Linked DNA regions of Caenorhabditis elegans. The protein of the gene in region 1 purifies or fractionates together with the protein of each later gene. This does not show direct contact. Each region holds a gene or a part of one and is shown on either strand. Other genes may lie near its edges.

Region 1 (5,189 bases):
CTCAATCGCAATTTCTTGAGTTTTGAACCTAGTACAAAAATGAACCGAAACACTTTCCAACGGTAATTTTAGGGGTTCAGAGCTGAATTCTGTCCCTGAAATTTTTGTGGTGACCTAGTCTTAACATAGGCCTTAAACAGGCCTCATCTGGAAATTGGATTTTCAGGCTTAAAAATTATGGAAAGGTTTAAACGAGAGGCTCTGAAAATTGACTTTTTATTTTGTCAATTTTTTATTATTTAAATTTTCAAAATAGGAAAAAGAACATGCAAAAAACATATATTGCTGAAAAAGTAGTAAAGCTCTGTCCTGATAAATTGCAGAAATCGTAATTACAGCAACACGCTTTAACATCAACATCACCAAGCTTTTCCTTTTGACAGCTCACTCCGTTGGTCTGAAACTTATTATATTTTTTGTAGACCTCTCAGCAGTTTTGAAAACGCTTTTGGCTTGAATTTTTACTAAAGTTAGCTAAGATCAAATGAGCAAAATTACTTAACCAACGCTGAACACATTTGAAAACTCAAAATAATATGTGCTATTAAAAACTTACATCACAATTTGTAATAGACACTGTCGGATCGGGACACGTTCCATTGAACACTGTGAAATAAGATGCTTGCTCAGAAAGCGTCAAACAATAAAGGCCATTGCAGGTGATAGCTGTCTGAAATTTCATTGTTATAGTTATGATTGAAAGGTTGGAGCCCGTTTCAGTTTTCTGGTGGCACTTGTTTCAGTTTAAGCCTTGTTCAAGCCGGGGACCAAGGCCTATAATCCAGTCCTCTAATGCTCCACTTCCAGATTAAGGCTGGATAGATTTAGGGGAGCTTGAACTTGTGATTTATGAATTGGTAGAGGTCCCTCTCAAAATTGAATAAAAAGAGTAATGAAGTAAACGTTTTTTTCAACAATTGCACTGACCAACAACAACTCAATTTAGTTAATACATTTTTTATAGTAATATAAATGTTCAAAATTAATTATTTTTTCAAACAACTTTTCATTTTCCTTACCTTACCGACTGTATGCGTCTTGCCTTCATAATCCATTTGTGAAAATGCCCAGCACTGTATCGAAGCTACCGGTATAATAAAGGTAATAAAAATCGATATAAATAAGAAATAAGTAGGCATCATAAAATTCAAAAGTGTGCAACTGTTGCTTTATCAGTGAAAAGCATTGGAAACTGTGCTTTCGTCATGTGAAATGCAAATTTTCAGGTTTTGTGATTTATTTTCAACTAGTACTTACTTATCAAATTGCGCACATTTGTATGAAATTGCATGCCATAATTGTTGATTTTCTGTCAAATATTTTTAAATTGGAATTTTAAGTTCAGTTTGAACTGCAAAACTAATTTCTGAATGTGTTCATTGCGCCGTAAACATTCAAACTATTTATGCAACTCGTTAACTTACCAAGTGCACTGACACCACTTTGCACTGACCATTGACCATTTTGCATTGACCAATTTGCATTGGCCATTTTGCACTGACCAATTTGCACTGACCAATTTGCATTGGCCATTTTGCACTAACTAATTTGCACTAAACAACTTGACATTTTTTTTGTTGTTGAGCACATGTAATTTTTTGATAAAACGGCCTGAAAAAATCTTGAAGTCACACTATCATCGGGTGATTCCGAGCTGTTCCCAATTCTCAAGTTTACAACTCCCGAAAACTTCACAAGTCACTAATCACACATCACTAGGTTCCTCCGAGGTCAAACTTTTCCCGTTGGAAAAGAGACAATTGAAGAGTGAGAGGTTGCATGACGTCATAGACAAACGTCCAAGTGTCTGTGACCTCTCATTTGCATGTACTGTCTTGTCGGGGAAGGTATATATTGATCATCTAGCGTTTGAAACAGCGCACCAGTGTCTCTGTAGTTTGGGCAACGAGCAGTCGGTAATTATGAGTGCTTTGCTGGGAGGACGAATTGCTGTGGTTACCGGTGAGTTGTTTTATTTGCAAAAAATTATTTTGAAAAAAAAATTGCAAACACCTAATTTAATATATTTTTCAAGTTTAAAATAGAAGGAAAAAAAAATTTTTTGGAAAAAAAATTAGCAAAAATTAAAAAAAATTGTAGTGATTTTGAGAATTAAAAATAAAAAAATTGAGCAAATATCGTTTCGTGAGTTAAATAAAAGAAGTAAAATATGAGTTGACATTGAAGTTGGTCAGTGCATTTCACACGTTTAGTCAGTGCATTTGGTCCGTAAAAAGCAAAAAACATACCAAGTGCACTGACCACCTGACTAGATCAAACCGAAACCCCCAGAAATTACTCTCACAAAAAACCTGCTCACTTCCAGCTTTTTGCAACATGAAACGTACTCGAAAGTCACATTTTTTCTGTAGTCCTGAGAAAAAACGTTAATAAAAAATGTTTTTATTCTCATAATCCAAGAAAAAATGAATGTTAAAGTGTGGGAAATAGAATACGGTAGCTTACGCTATATGTATATTTATAGCGTTTTTCAGAACTCACAATGTAAAAAGAGCAAAAACCAAAAAGAGCCAATTTTCAGGTGGTGCATCCGGCATCGGCAAGGCCATCTCGCAGACGTTGGCCAAGCATGGAGCTCGTGTCGTAGTTGCCGATTTGGATTCCGGCAACGCTGCAGCCACTGCAAAGGCTCTTCCAGCTAGCCAGAGCCATTCCTCGTTTGCCTGTGACGTGTCAAATGCAGACAGTGTGAAGGGGCTCAGTGAGCATGTAAAATCGCTGGGAACACCGTCGATTTTGGTAAATTGTGCAGGGATCACAAAGGTTCGGTTTTTTTACAAATTCATCCTAAATCGTACACCTACAGTAATCCTTTGTTACTAAAAAGGTGCTGTTGGAGTCAAAATATGTGTCTAGCGAACTAAAGAAACAAAAATTTTTTTAAAGGATTCTACACTTCTAAAAATGAAGCAGGAGCAATGGGACAGTGTCATTAAGGTCAACCTTACCGGAGTCTTCCATGTGAGTTTTTTTTTCTGAAAATTGAGGCGAAAAAGTTTTCCGATACAGTGTGATCCTAGATTATTTTTTAAAAGTGATTGAAACACTGTCAGAATAAAGATAACAAAATCAAAGAGGTAATAATATTTTATACCCTTTTTACAGTTTTTTTTTTTAAATTTTGACTTGCGACTACCGATCGTGACGGCGCACAACTTTAGACTCTCCCCCAAATTTTACCATTGGTTGTCAGATAAGAAAGCTTGCTCAGCATGAAAAAAAAACTATAAAACAAAAATTTAATATCTACTTGAAAGTTACTAATTTTTACATCAGTTCCAAAATGTTTTAAATACAATTTCAGGTATCCCAAGCATTTGTCAAAGCATCAGTTGACAACAACAACCACCCATTATCAATTATCAATGTTTCATCAATTGTCGGCAAAATGGGAAATTTCGGCCAAACCAACTACGCAGCCACCAAGGCCGGAGTCATCGGGTTCACAAAATCTGCAGCGAAAGAGTTGGCGAAAAAGGTGAGTAGTTTCTGATTTTGCGGCAAATCTCAAATAGAAATATAATATAAAATTTATACGAAAATATAGTGAAAAATATCTAAATCTACCGGCCCATACTTTTTTGTGCACACCTCTGTTGCACTATGTTTTAAAATAGACAAAGCAATAAAAAAGAGATTTCGTTGACGAATTGAAACTAAAGTTTTGTTTCCCAAAAAAGTATCACGTCGAAAACAATAAAATGCACTAGACTTTCCTATGTTCAAATATGTTCAAATATGTTCAAACTGTTACGAAAAATTATTTTTTGGTGCACTACGTATGTTTTAAAATGAGCTTTGTTATATTCTGCTAAAAAATTTTTATTGAGAATTTCATTAGTGATTAGGTCTTAAAAATTAACATGTACTGCCAGAAAAATGTCAAAACTGGAAAACTGCATAGTTTTTTTTCTTTTCGATGCACCATGTTGCAAAATGAATTTTGCATGATTACTGAGGCCTGAACTTAATAGTTCAATTCCGCTTTGAACTTTGGAGAACTATGTATTCACGACGTTAAAAAGCATTCGATGCACCATGTTTTGAAAGGAATTTTGCATGCCTGGTACTGGCTGTACATAGAAAACATTTCAAATGTAGCTATCATTATTGGAAAATTAATTTAAACGTTTTTTTTTAAATATTCAGTAGATATACCAAAAAAAAATTAAAATCTCGATGCACCATGTTCGGGGGAATCGCCTTTTGACCACTACCATCTTACTGAAATTTTTTCCAGAACGTACGTGTGAACGCAGTGCTCCCAGGCTTCATCAAGACCCCAATGACAGAGGCAATGCCACCGACTGTGTTGGCCGAAATCTGTAAGGGAATTCCAATGGGCCGGATGGGTGAAGCCGAGGAAATCGCCAACTCCGTCTTGTACCTTGCCTCTGATCTCTCCTCATATGTGACTGGTGCCACTTTGGAAGTTACCGGTGGATTTAGTATGTAGATTAAATTTAGACTTTTTACTTTGACGGTTTATATCGTGGATTTTAAAACTTCTGGAGATTTTTATTTAATTAATGTATACTTTTGAAAGTCTATGAAAAAATCTGAAACTATGCCCTCAAAGTAAGCAGGTAGCTTGGTTTAGAATCTTTGTTGATATTGTGATTAACTTTGTTTCATGAAATGAATATTTGTTTTAAATCGGGATATCTTTATTAGTGATCAAATATACATTATAATTAAAAAATGAAATAAATGTTATTCAAATTATTGCACGAAGGTTTAACAAAACTGTTTTGTATAATTGTTCAATTGAAAACTTTCACGTTTTGTTAACAAAATTTGAGTATAAGGTTATTGATAAATAGGAAAACTCTAAACTAAATGTTAATGAACCCAGCAAATTACATTTTTGTCAGTGCAAACATTTTTTGGTCAGTGCAAACATTTTTTGTTTAGTGCAAACATTTTTTTGCTAAATGTTTCTTAGTCACTGCCCGAAGTGAAATATTTTAATTTTGAAAAAAAACTCAAGTAACTTATTCAAAAATGTCTAGAAACATTAATCGGAGAATACTCATCAGGCTTATTCACAAAATCCAAACTAATGTCACAAATTTCAATAGGAGCCGACTCGTCAATGTCTTCCTCGCGGGAGTGTGAAGTGTTGATTCGAAGTTGAGTGGAACGTGTTGGTACCGTGATTCTGAATT
Region 2 (7,652 bases), on another chromosome or scaffold:
GATTTGCCGGAAGTTTTCATTTTCGGCGATTTGCCGATTTGCCGTTGCCGGCTCAAAATTTGGCGGAAGGTTTTAGGCGGATTTTTTAAAGGACGGAAACACTTAAGACTGTGCATTTTGAATTTTTTTTTCCGTTTTCTGTAGATATTTTCATAGAATTTGCTTACTTTTCAAAATAGATGTAGGAACATTCATGAGAAATTAAAGTGCACACAAGAGACAGCTATACTTTAAAAGCCGAAAAAGAAATGTAAGTCATTGATTGTTCAATTGCCGTTCGGCAAATTTTTTGTCGACAAATTCGGCAAATTGGCAAATTGCCGATTTGCCGGAAACTTTTATTTTTGGCAATTTGTCGATTTGCCGATTTATCGGATATTCTCAATTCCTGCAATTTGCCGATTTGCCGGAAATTTTGATTTTCTGCAACTTGCTGATTTGCCGGAAACGTTCATTTTCGGCTAATTATCGATTTGCCGGAAACTTTCATTTTCGGCAAATTACCGATTTGCCAATTTGCCGGAAATTTTAATTTTCGGCAAGTTTCCGGTTTGTCGATTTTCCGGAAATTTTCATTTTCGGCAGTTTGCCGATTTTCCGAATTGCCGGAAATTTACCGATTTGCCGGTTTGCCGTTTGCCAAACATCAATTTGCCGGAAATTTTTAGAGGGAGTTTTTAGAAGACAGAAACACTTGAAACTGTGCCTTTTTGAAATTTTTTCCCGTTTTTTCTAAATATTTTCATAGAATTTGCTTATTTTCGAAAAAGATGCTGGAACATTCATAGAATGCGTACATTTTTGCCGATTAAAATTGAAATTCTAAAGCTTAAAAAAATTGAAAAACCACAATTCGGCGAAAATTTTCGAAAATCTCCGTTTTTCCGGCAAATTCGGCAAATCGGCAAATTACCGGATTGCCAACAAAAATTTCAATTCCAACGATTTACCGGTTTGCCGATTTGCCGGAAGTTTCAATTCCGACGATTTGCCAAAAAATTTTTAATTCCGGCAATTTGCCGATTTGCAGGTTTGCCCAAAATTTAAATTCCGGCAAGTTGCCGATTTGTCAAAATGCTAAATTTCTGCAATTTGCCGATTTGCCGATTTGCCGGAAAAAATCGTTTGTAGTTTGCCGCCCAGCCTAGTTTACCGGTACACTGTGTGCATAAATCGTAATCAAATATAGGGATCCTATTGGATATCACTCGAGAAAACTGAATTACCGTATAAAACTTCTAATCCTTCCAAATCCGAAGAACCTGAGAAGTTGTCAAACACACATACAGGGAACAAATAGTTTTTCGCATTTTCAAAGATAAAAACCAAAACTTGAATCCTTTTTGACCGCCCCCCCCCCCTTCAAACTAGCATCATTGAAACAATGCGCATTCCACGTGATATGAACACACACATACACACTTCAATCTTTATCATCAAAATCGTGAAAATCAGGATCAAAATGTGGCCACCTGTTATGCTATAGATCTTGGTTCAACGGGATCATCTCCCATCCTTTGAGAACATCTTCTCTCCTCGTCACGGGAAGGCACCGCCCAGCAAGTGATAACCACGTTTTGGAAAAACTTTCGGGATGAATCCGAAAACTCCGCCCTCTTTACATCCAGAAATCCATAAAATCACAGGGAATCCCTTTTCTCTGGTCTCTGGTTTACCACATTATGATCCTATTCCCTATTATTTTATTTCTAACACTTCTACCGTATCCATGCACCTGCTTAAAAGTTAAATCGGAAGTAGATGTGACAAAATATGGGTTGACGCAAAAAGAAATCTTGAAATCTCCACATTATAAAGACAAAGTTTTCAATGTTCCCATGTCGACAGAGTCTGGAGAAGAGCTCTTGGAGCATTGGGCGGTTCAAGGATTTTCCGGAGTTGTCGCAGCGATTGCTACAAGAAGGTGAGATCAGACTTTGTTATTTTAGACCTAAAATGGTCTAAAGCTACCGAATTTTGTGATGAGACGTTCTGAAAATTTTTCAAAAAAAAGTTATGGCCGCTCAAAGTTTTGGAAAAAATGATCTTTTTTTTTAGCTAAAATCTCAAATTTTGGCAACTTTTCGCGGCAATTTTCGACCGGCAATTCTACAAAATGAGACAGTTGGGCATGTTCCCCATAAATTTTTCATTAAAATTTAATGATACAATATAGAAAAATATTTGCTTTATTTGAAAATAACTGTTATTTTAGTAGAAAAATCTCCAAAAATAGTCTGAATGTTGACAATTGCCGGTTAAAATTGCCGAAAAAGTGGCGGCAATTTTCACCGGTAATTTTCAATATTCGGACAATTTTTGAACACTTTCTCGGTTGTTCCAAGTCAAATAAAAGTTATCTTCAAATAAAGTAAATATTTGTCTATATTATATCATGAAAATTTAATGAAAAATATTGTGGGAACATGTCCAACCATCTCATTTTGTAGAATTGCCGGCTGGCAATTGCCGCGCACTCTGAAAAGTTGCCGAAATTTGAGATTTTAGCTAGAAATTGACCATTTTTGCCTAAACTTTGAGCGGCCATAACTTTTTAAAAAATAAATTTTCAGAACGTCTCATTACAAAATTTGGTAGTTTTGGACCATGTTAGATCTAAAAATGGCAATTTCTCAAATTTCGTTACTTAACATTTAAGAAAATACGCATTTAATGCCACGAGCAATTTGTTAAATTTGTTAAATATATTAATATTTCAGACTAGCCCTTGTTGAAGACTACCAAAAAAAGAGCCATGAGAAATGCTCATCCGAGGCTGAAACTCTTTCGGAGCACGCAAGTTGCTTGCTCAAGCTAGAAGACGACGCACATAGAAATCGATTGGTTCATAGGAGAAAGCTCTTCAGCAGAAGTGAGCATTTTAATTTTACGTAGTTTAAAAGGTAAACATTTCTAGTTGACTTGAGAATTTCTGAAGAAATTTTCCCAATTTTGCCCAAATTTTGCCCAATTAGTCGGCTTGCTGTACGAGCTGACAGCCAAAAAAAAAAATCAGCTAGCCGTTCAGCCCTGATCCCCACTGTACTGAACATATTCCAGAGATGCGTCGCCGAATCGATAAGATGGTTACCAACACTACAATGACTCCAATAACTGAAAAAGAGATTCGGGAAGATAAAGAATGGATTGGGTCATTCAAGTTTCGGGCAAAACGAGAAATTAGAGTGCACACCAGAGATAGCTATACTTTAAAAGCCGAAAAAGAAATGTAAGTGGTTGAGTGTTGGCGGCAAAAATTGTTTATTGACAAAAAAAATTGGCAAATCGGATTGCCGGTTTTCGGCGAATTATCGATTTTCCGGAAACTTTCATTTTCGGCAAATTACCGATTTGCCAATTTGCAGGAAATTTTAATTTTCGGCAAATTTCCGGGTTGCTGATTTTCCGGAAATTTTGATTTTCGGCAAATTGCCGATTTGTCGGAAATTTTGATTTTCGGCTATTTGCTGATTTGTCAGAAATTCTCAATTCCGGCAATTTATCGATTTGCCGAATCGCCGGTTTGCCGGTTTGCCAAATTGCCAGACGTTTTTAAAGATAATTTTTATAAGACGGAAACACTTAAAATTGTGCCTTTTTGAAATTTTTCCCGTTTTCTTTAGATATTTTTATAGAATTTGCTTATTTTTTTCAAAACAGATGTAGGAACATTCATCGAATGCGTACCATTTTGTCGACAAAATTTGAAATTCTGAAATTTCCAAAAAAGTACAAAACCACAATCCACTATTTGTCGACAGTTTTCGGCAATTGCCATTGTCCGACAAACTCGGCGAATCGACAATTTGCCGGTTTGCCGGTTTTTCGGAAGTTTTCAATTCCGGCAATTTTTTAATTTGCCAATTTGCCGGAAGTTTTCAATTCCGACAATTTGCCGATTTGCCGATTTAAACAATTTGTTTGCTGCCATAAAATATGTATAAACCGTAATCTGTTCTAGGACACCATTCGGCCTGGTAACGAGACATCTCTCTAGCGCTGTGAAACTTCTCAAAAAGACGGACAAGGTGTCAAAGTGGCAAGATACTATCGAACGAATCACCAAGAAAGCCGAAGAAATCAAAGAGCAAAAGAAAATGGAGGATTTTATGCAAAAGAGAATGTCGATTTATGCAGATGCAGCTGAAAAGATGAAGCAGAATAAGAAGATTGCGAAGGATGATAGTTTAAAGGAGTTCAACGATTTGGAGCAATTTATAGACAATGATCAGATTAAGGAGGTGTTGAGGAATAGGAAGAATAAAATGACGGAACAGGAAAAGTTGATGATGATTCCGATGAAAATGATGAGAGATGGTTAGTAATGTGAAAATTTTTAATTTGGCCAAAAGATATATTTTTACAAAACGAAACCTTCTAATTATAATAAATAAAAAACAGCCGCCAAGATGGGATTGGAAATGTCGGGTCACAATACAACAGATTTCGATCGGAAAATTGTCAGAATTATCAGTCCACGTCTTATGAGTGTGATTCCACAAGAAGAAGCTGCAAAGAATAATGAGGTAAGGGACAGGCGTGTGCGGCAAATTTGGCAAATTTGCCGAAGTTGCCGAACCCTAACGATTTCGGCACCCGGCAATTTTCGGACTAGCCGAATTTCAAAAGTTTCGGTCGGCCAAATCAATTTTGGCGACCGGTAGTGGCCAAAATTGCCGCTTGCCGAAAAATTCCAAAACCGGCAATTTTCAAGTTTGCCGAACCATAACAATTTCGGCAACGGGCAATTGCCAAAAATTTTCAAAACCGGCTATTGCCGAAATTGTCGATTGCCGAAAAATTCCAAAACCGGCAATTTCCAAAATTGCCGATTGCAGGAAATTTCGAAAACAAGCAAATCTCGATAGAAAACAAAAATTTCCAAAACCAGCAAATCTCGAAAAAAATGCCCAAAACCGGCAGTTTCTGAAATTGCCGATTGCCGGAAATTTTCAAAACCGGCAATTTCCGAAATTGCCGATTGCCGGGAAATTTCCAAAACCGACAATTTCCAAAATTGCGGATTGCCGAAAATTTCTAAAACCGACAATTGCCGAGAGTTTCCAAAACCGGAAATTTCCGAAGTTGCCGATTCCAGGGGCGGCAAATCACGAAATTTGCCGAGCTCGGTCAGTTTGGCAAATTCGGCATATTTGCCGGACACAATGTTCGAAATTTACAGATTGATCTCCTCTCTCCTTCACTATTTGCTCTACACGAGGATGGCTCTGGAGTAGAAAAGAAAGCATCACTCGGAAACATCCTAGGATCTCTCACCGATAACAAAGACTCTCAGGATTTCTTGGATTTTATTGTGGAAGCAACTGGTGTCAATGAAGCGATGGAACGGGTTGAAAGAAAAATCGGAGAGTATCGAAGACTCAAAGACGATGCGATGGGAAGAGGGCCTGAAGGTCAACCGTTGTACTTCACAAAAGAAAATGTAACAGAAAAATATCCGCATGAGGCGAGGAAAATCGAAATGTTCGAGTCTTTGGATAAAACTTATACCGATGAGCAGCTCAAGGAGATGAACAGAACAGGCTATACTATTATGAGACATGATCAGATGGATTTGATCTACGGGAAGGGATCAGTGGGGGAAAATGAGAAGTTCTTGAAATTGGCAAAATCAATGAGCAGACCACAAATCGATAGAGCTATTATGGGAACAATCAAGGACTTGGCACATGAGAAAGTCAAATTTGAGGCAAAGAGAAATGATATTATTTTATCACCGATCACATTTAGTAACTTCATTTTGGATCCAGTGGTGAGTTAACTGGCCTGTGCGCAGGGGTGCATGACAATTGCAGACCGGCAGTTCTACAAAATTAGACGGTTGGGCATGTTCCAACAATATTTTTCATTAAATTTTTTATTTTTTTTTCATTAAAGATACAATATAAAAAATATTTGCTTTACTTGAAAATAATTTTCACTAGACTTTTAAATAGCGAGAAAGTGTTCAAAAATAGTCTGAATGTGGAAAATTGCCGTCAATTTTTCGGCAATTTTCACCGGAAATTTTCAACATTCAGACTATTTTTGAAGATCTTTCTACTAAACTAACAGTAATTTTTAAATGAAGCAAATATTTTTTATATTCTATCATTAAATTTCAATGAAAAATTTATGGGGAGCCTGGCCAACCGTCTCATTTTGTAGAATTGCCGGTCGACAATTGCTGTGCCGGTCGACAATTGCTGACTGTGCAGCAAACATACAAAACGGCTTCAATATTTTCAATATGATAATCCAATTTTTTAAATCTAAAATAGGTATAGAAGTGTAGAAAAATGTTTGTTCTATCTGAAAATAATATTTATGTTTGTTGAAAAGTTTGAAAAAATTTTCAAATAGTCCCTGGAAGTTATCGTTTGCCGAAATACTTTTAACGGCATTTTTTTCAGCAAACGGCAACTTTCTGGCACAACTTGAGGCTTTTTAAGAGATTTTTCAACAAATATAAATGTTATTTTCAGATGGAACGAATTTTGTTTAATATATAGAAACATGTTTGTATATTCTGAAAAGAATTTTACTTTTCAGTGAAAGTTTTGAAAAATTGCTCGAAGACTATCTTAGTTTCGTAATGTGCCGATCAGGGCTATCTGAAAATTTGCAGAGCTCGGCAAACTCGGCAAATTCGGCAAATTTGCCGTTCTTCGCAAACTCGGAAAATTTTGATTTTTAAATATTTTTTGGAGCACCAAAATTACTGTTATTCATAGAAAAATTTTGAATAGTGTAATATTGCCATTATCAGTGGCTCTGTCTCAATTTTCTCAAAAATCGAACGCTCTTACTTGAAAATCTGGAAAATTTATTCAAAATTTTCCAACAAAAAATCTCCCATATTGCAGGCTGTCTCCCAACCGGCAATCCTGTCTCCTGTCATGCTGTCATCACTGATCCTCTCTCCAGCTGTCTACGGAGTAATGATCCTTTCCCCATGGCTATTGGTACCTGTCATTCTTTCCCCGCGTCTTCTATCACCAGTAGCTGTGAATCCGTTCCTGCTGGTTCCGATCATTCTATCACCTCTAGCCTTTAACCCATTCATCCTGTGCCCAGGATCCATGAATCCATTCGTACTTTCCCCGCTCATCTTCGCCCCATTCATTCTCTCCCCACAAGTACTGACTCCACTGATCTTGACTCCGTTCTGTCTCGGACCAATTATTCTGAACCCACTGGCGTTGAGTCCCCTAGTTCTGTCCCCATTCGTCTTGTCCCCGACAATCCTCTCTCCTCAGTATGTGACTGCTGTCGTGCTTTCTCCATATGCTCTGAGCCCCGCGTGGGGATCCGATGGAGCTATGGTCACCGTGTTTGCCTCTCCAAGTTGGCTTTCATAACATATATATATATATATATATATATACTTCACTTGTGAATTTATGGGTCATATATCTAACTTCTCAATCTACAACTATTACATGTACAATTTAATAATTGATTATTTTTAATAATAATAAAAATATAATAATTTTTATTTTGACTTACACTAAAACAAATCCAGACAAGATAGTCTAAAGAAAATATTTTTTAAGCTGTTCGAAAACTGGTATGAGAGTGGATAAAGATTAGTTTTCTGAGCGTCTAACAAATTAACAAATTACATCAAGATACATTAAGTGCTCCTCTCA

The links. The genes of interacting proteins can lie anywhere in the genome.
Region 2: the proteins of dhs-25 (region 1) and mltn-1 fractionate together in Caenorhabditis elegans (co-fractionation; one large-scale study listed by BioGRID). This does not show direct contact.

The regions. Positions count from the first base shown.
Region 1 is NC_003284.9:1,484,653-1,489,841, forward strand, and holds dhs-25 ((3R)-3-hydroxyacyl-CoA dehydrogenase), read left to right. Parts: upstream 1-1,879; 5' UTR 1,880-1,922; coding exon 1,923-1,962; intron 1,963-2,542; coding exon 2,543-2,784; intron 2,785-2,907; coding exon 2,908-2,982; intron 2,983-3,325; coding exon 3,326-3,499; intron 3,500-3,664; exon of another isoform or gene 3,665-3,685; intron 3,686-4,261; coding exon 4,262-4,477; 3' UTR 4,478-4,674; downstream 4,675-5,189. Other genes in the region: D1005.4 (Activin_recp domain-containing protein), read right to left, coding at 248-397, 557-670, 1,020-1,139; D1005.10 (C-type lectin domain-containing protein), read right to left, coding at 1,254-1,309, 1,425-1,533; F09E10.5 (Globin family profile domain-containing protein), read right to left, coding at 5,020-5,182.
Region 2 is NC_003280.10:13,139,188-13,146,839, reverse strand, and holds mltn-1 (MLt-TeN (mlt-10) related), read left to right. Parts: upstream 1-1,614; 5' UTR 1,615-1,682; coding exon 1,683-1,924; intron 1,925-2,720; coding exon 2,721-2,872; intron 2,873-3,060; coding exon 3,061-3,229; intron 3,230-3,961; coding exon 3,962-4,317; intron 4,318-4,401; coding exon 4,402-4,526; intron 4,527-5,182; coding exon 5,183-5,773; intron 5,774-6,866; coding exon 6,867-7,361; 3' UTR 7,362-7,496; downstream 7,497-7,652.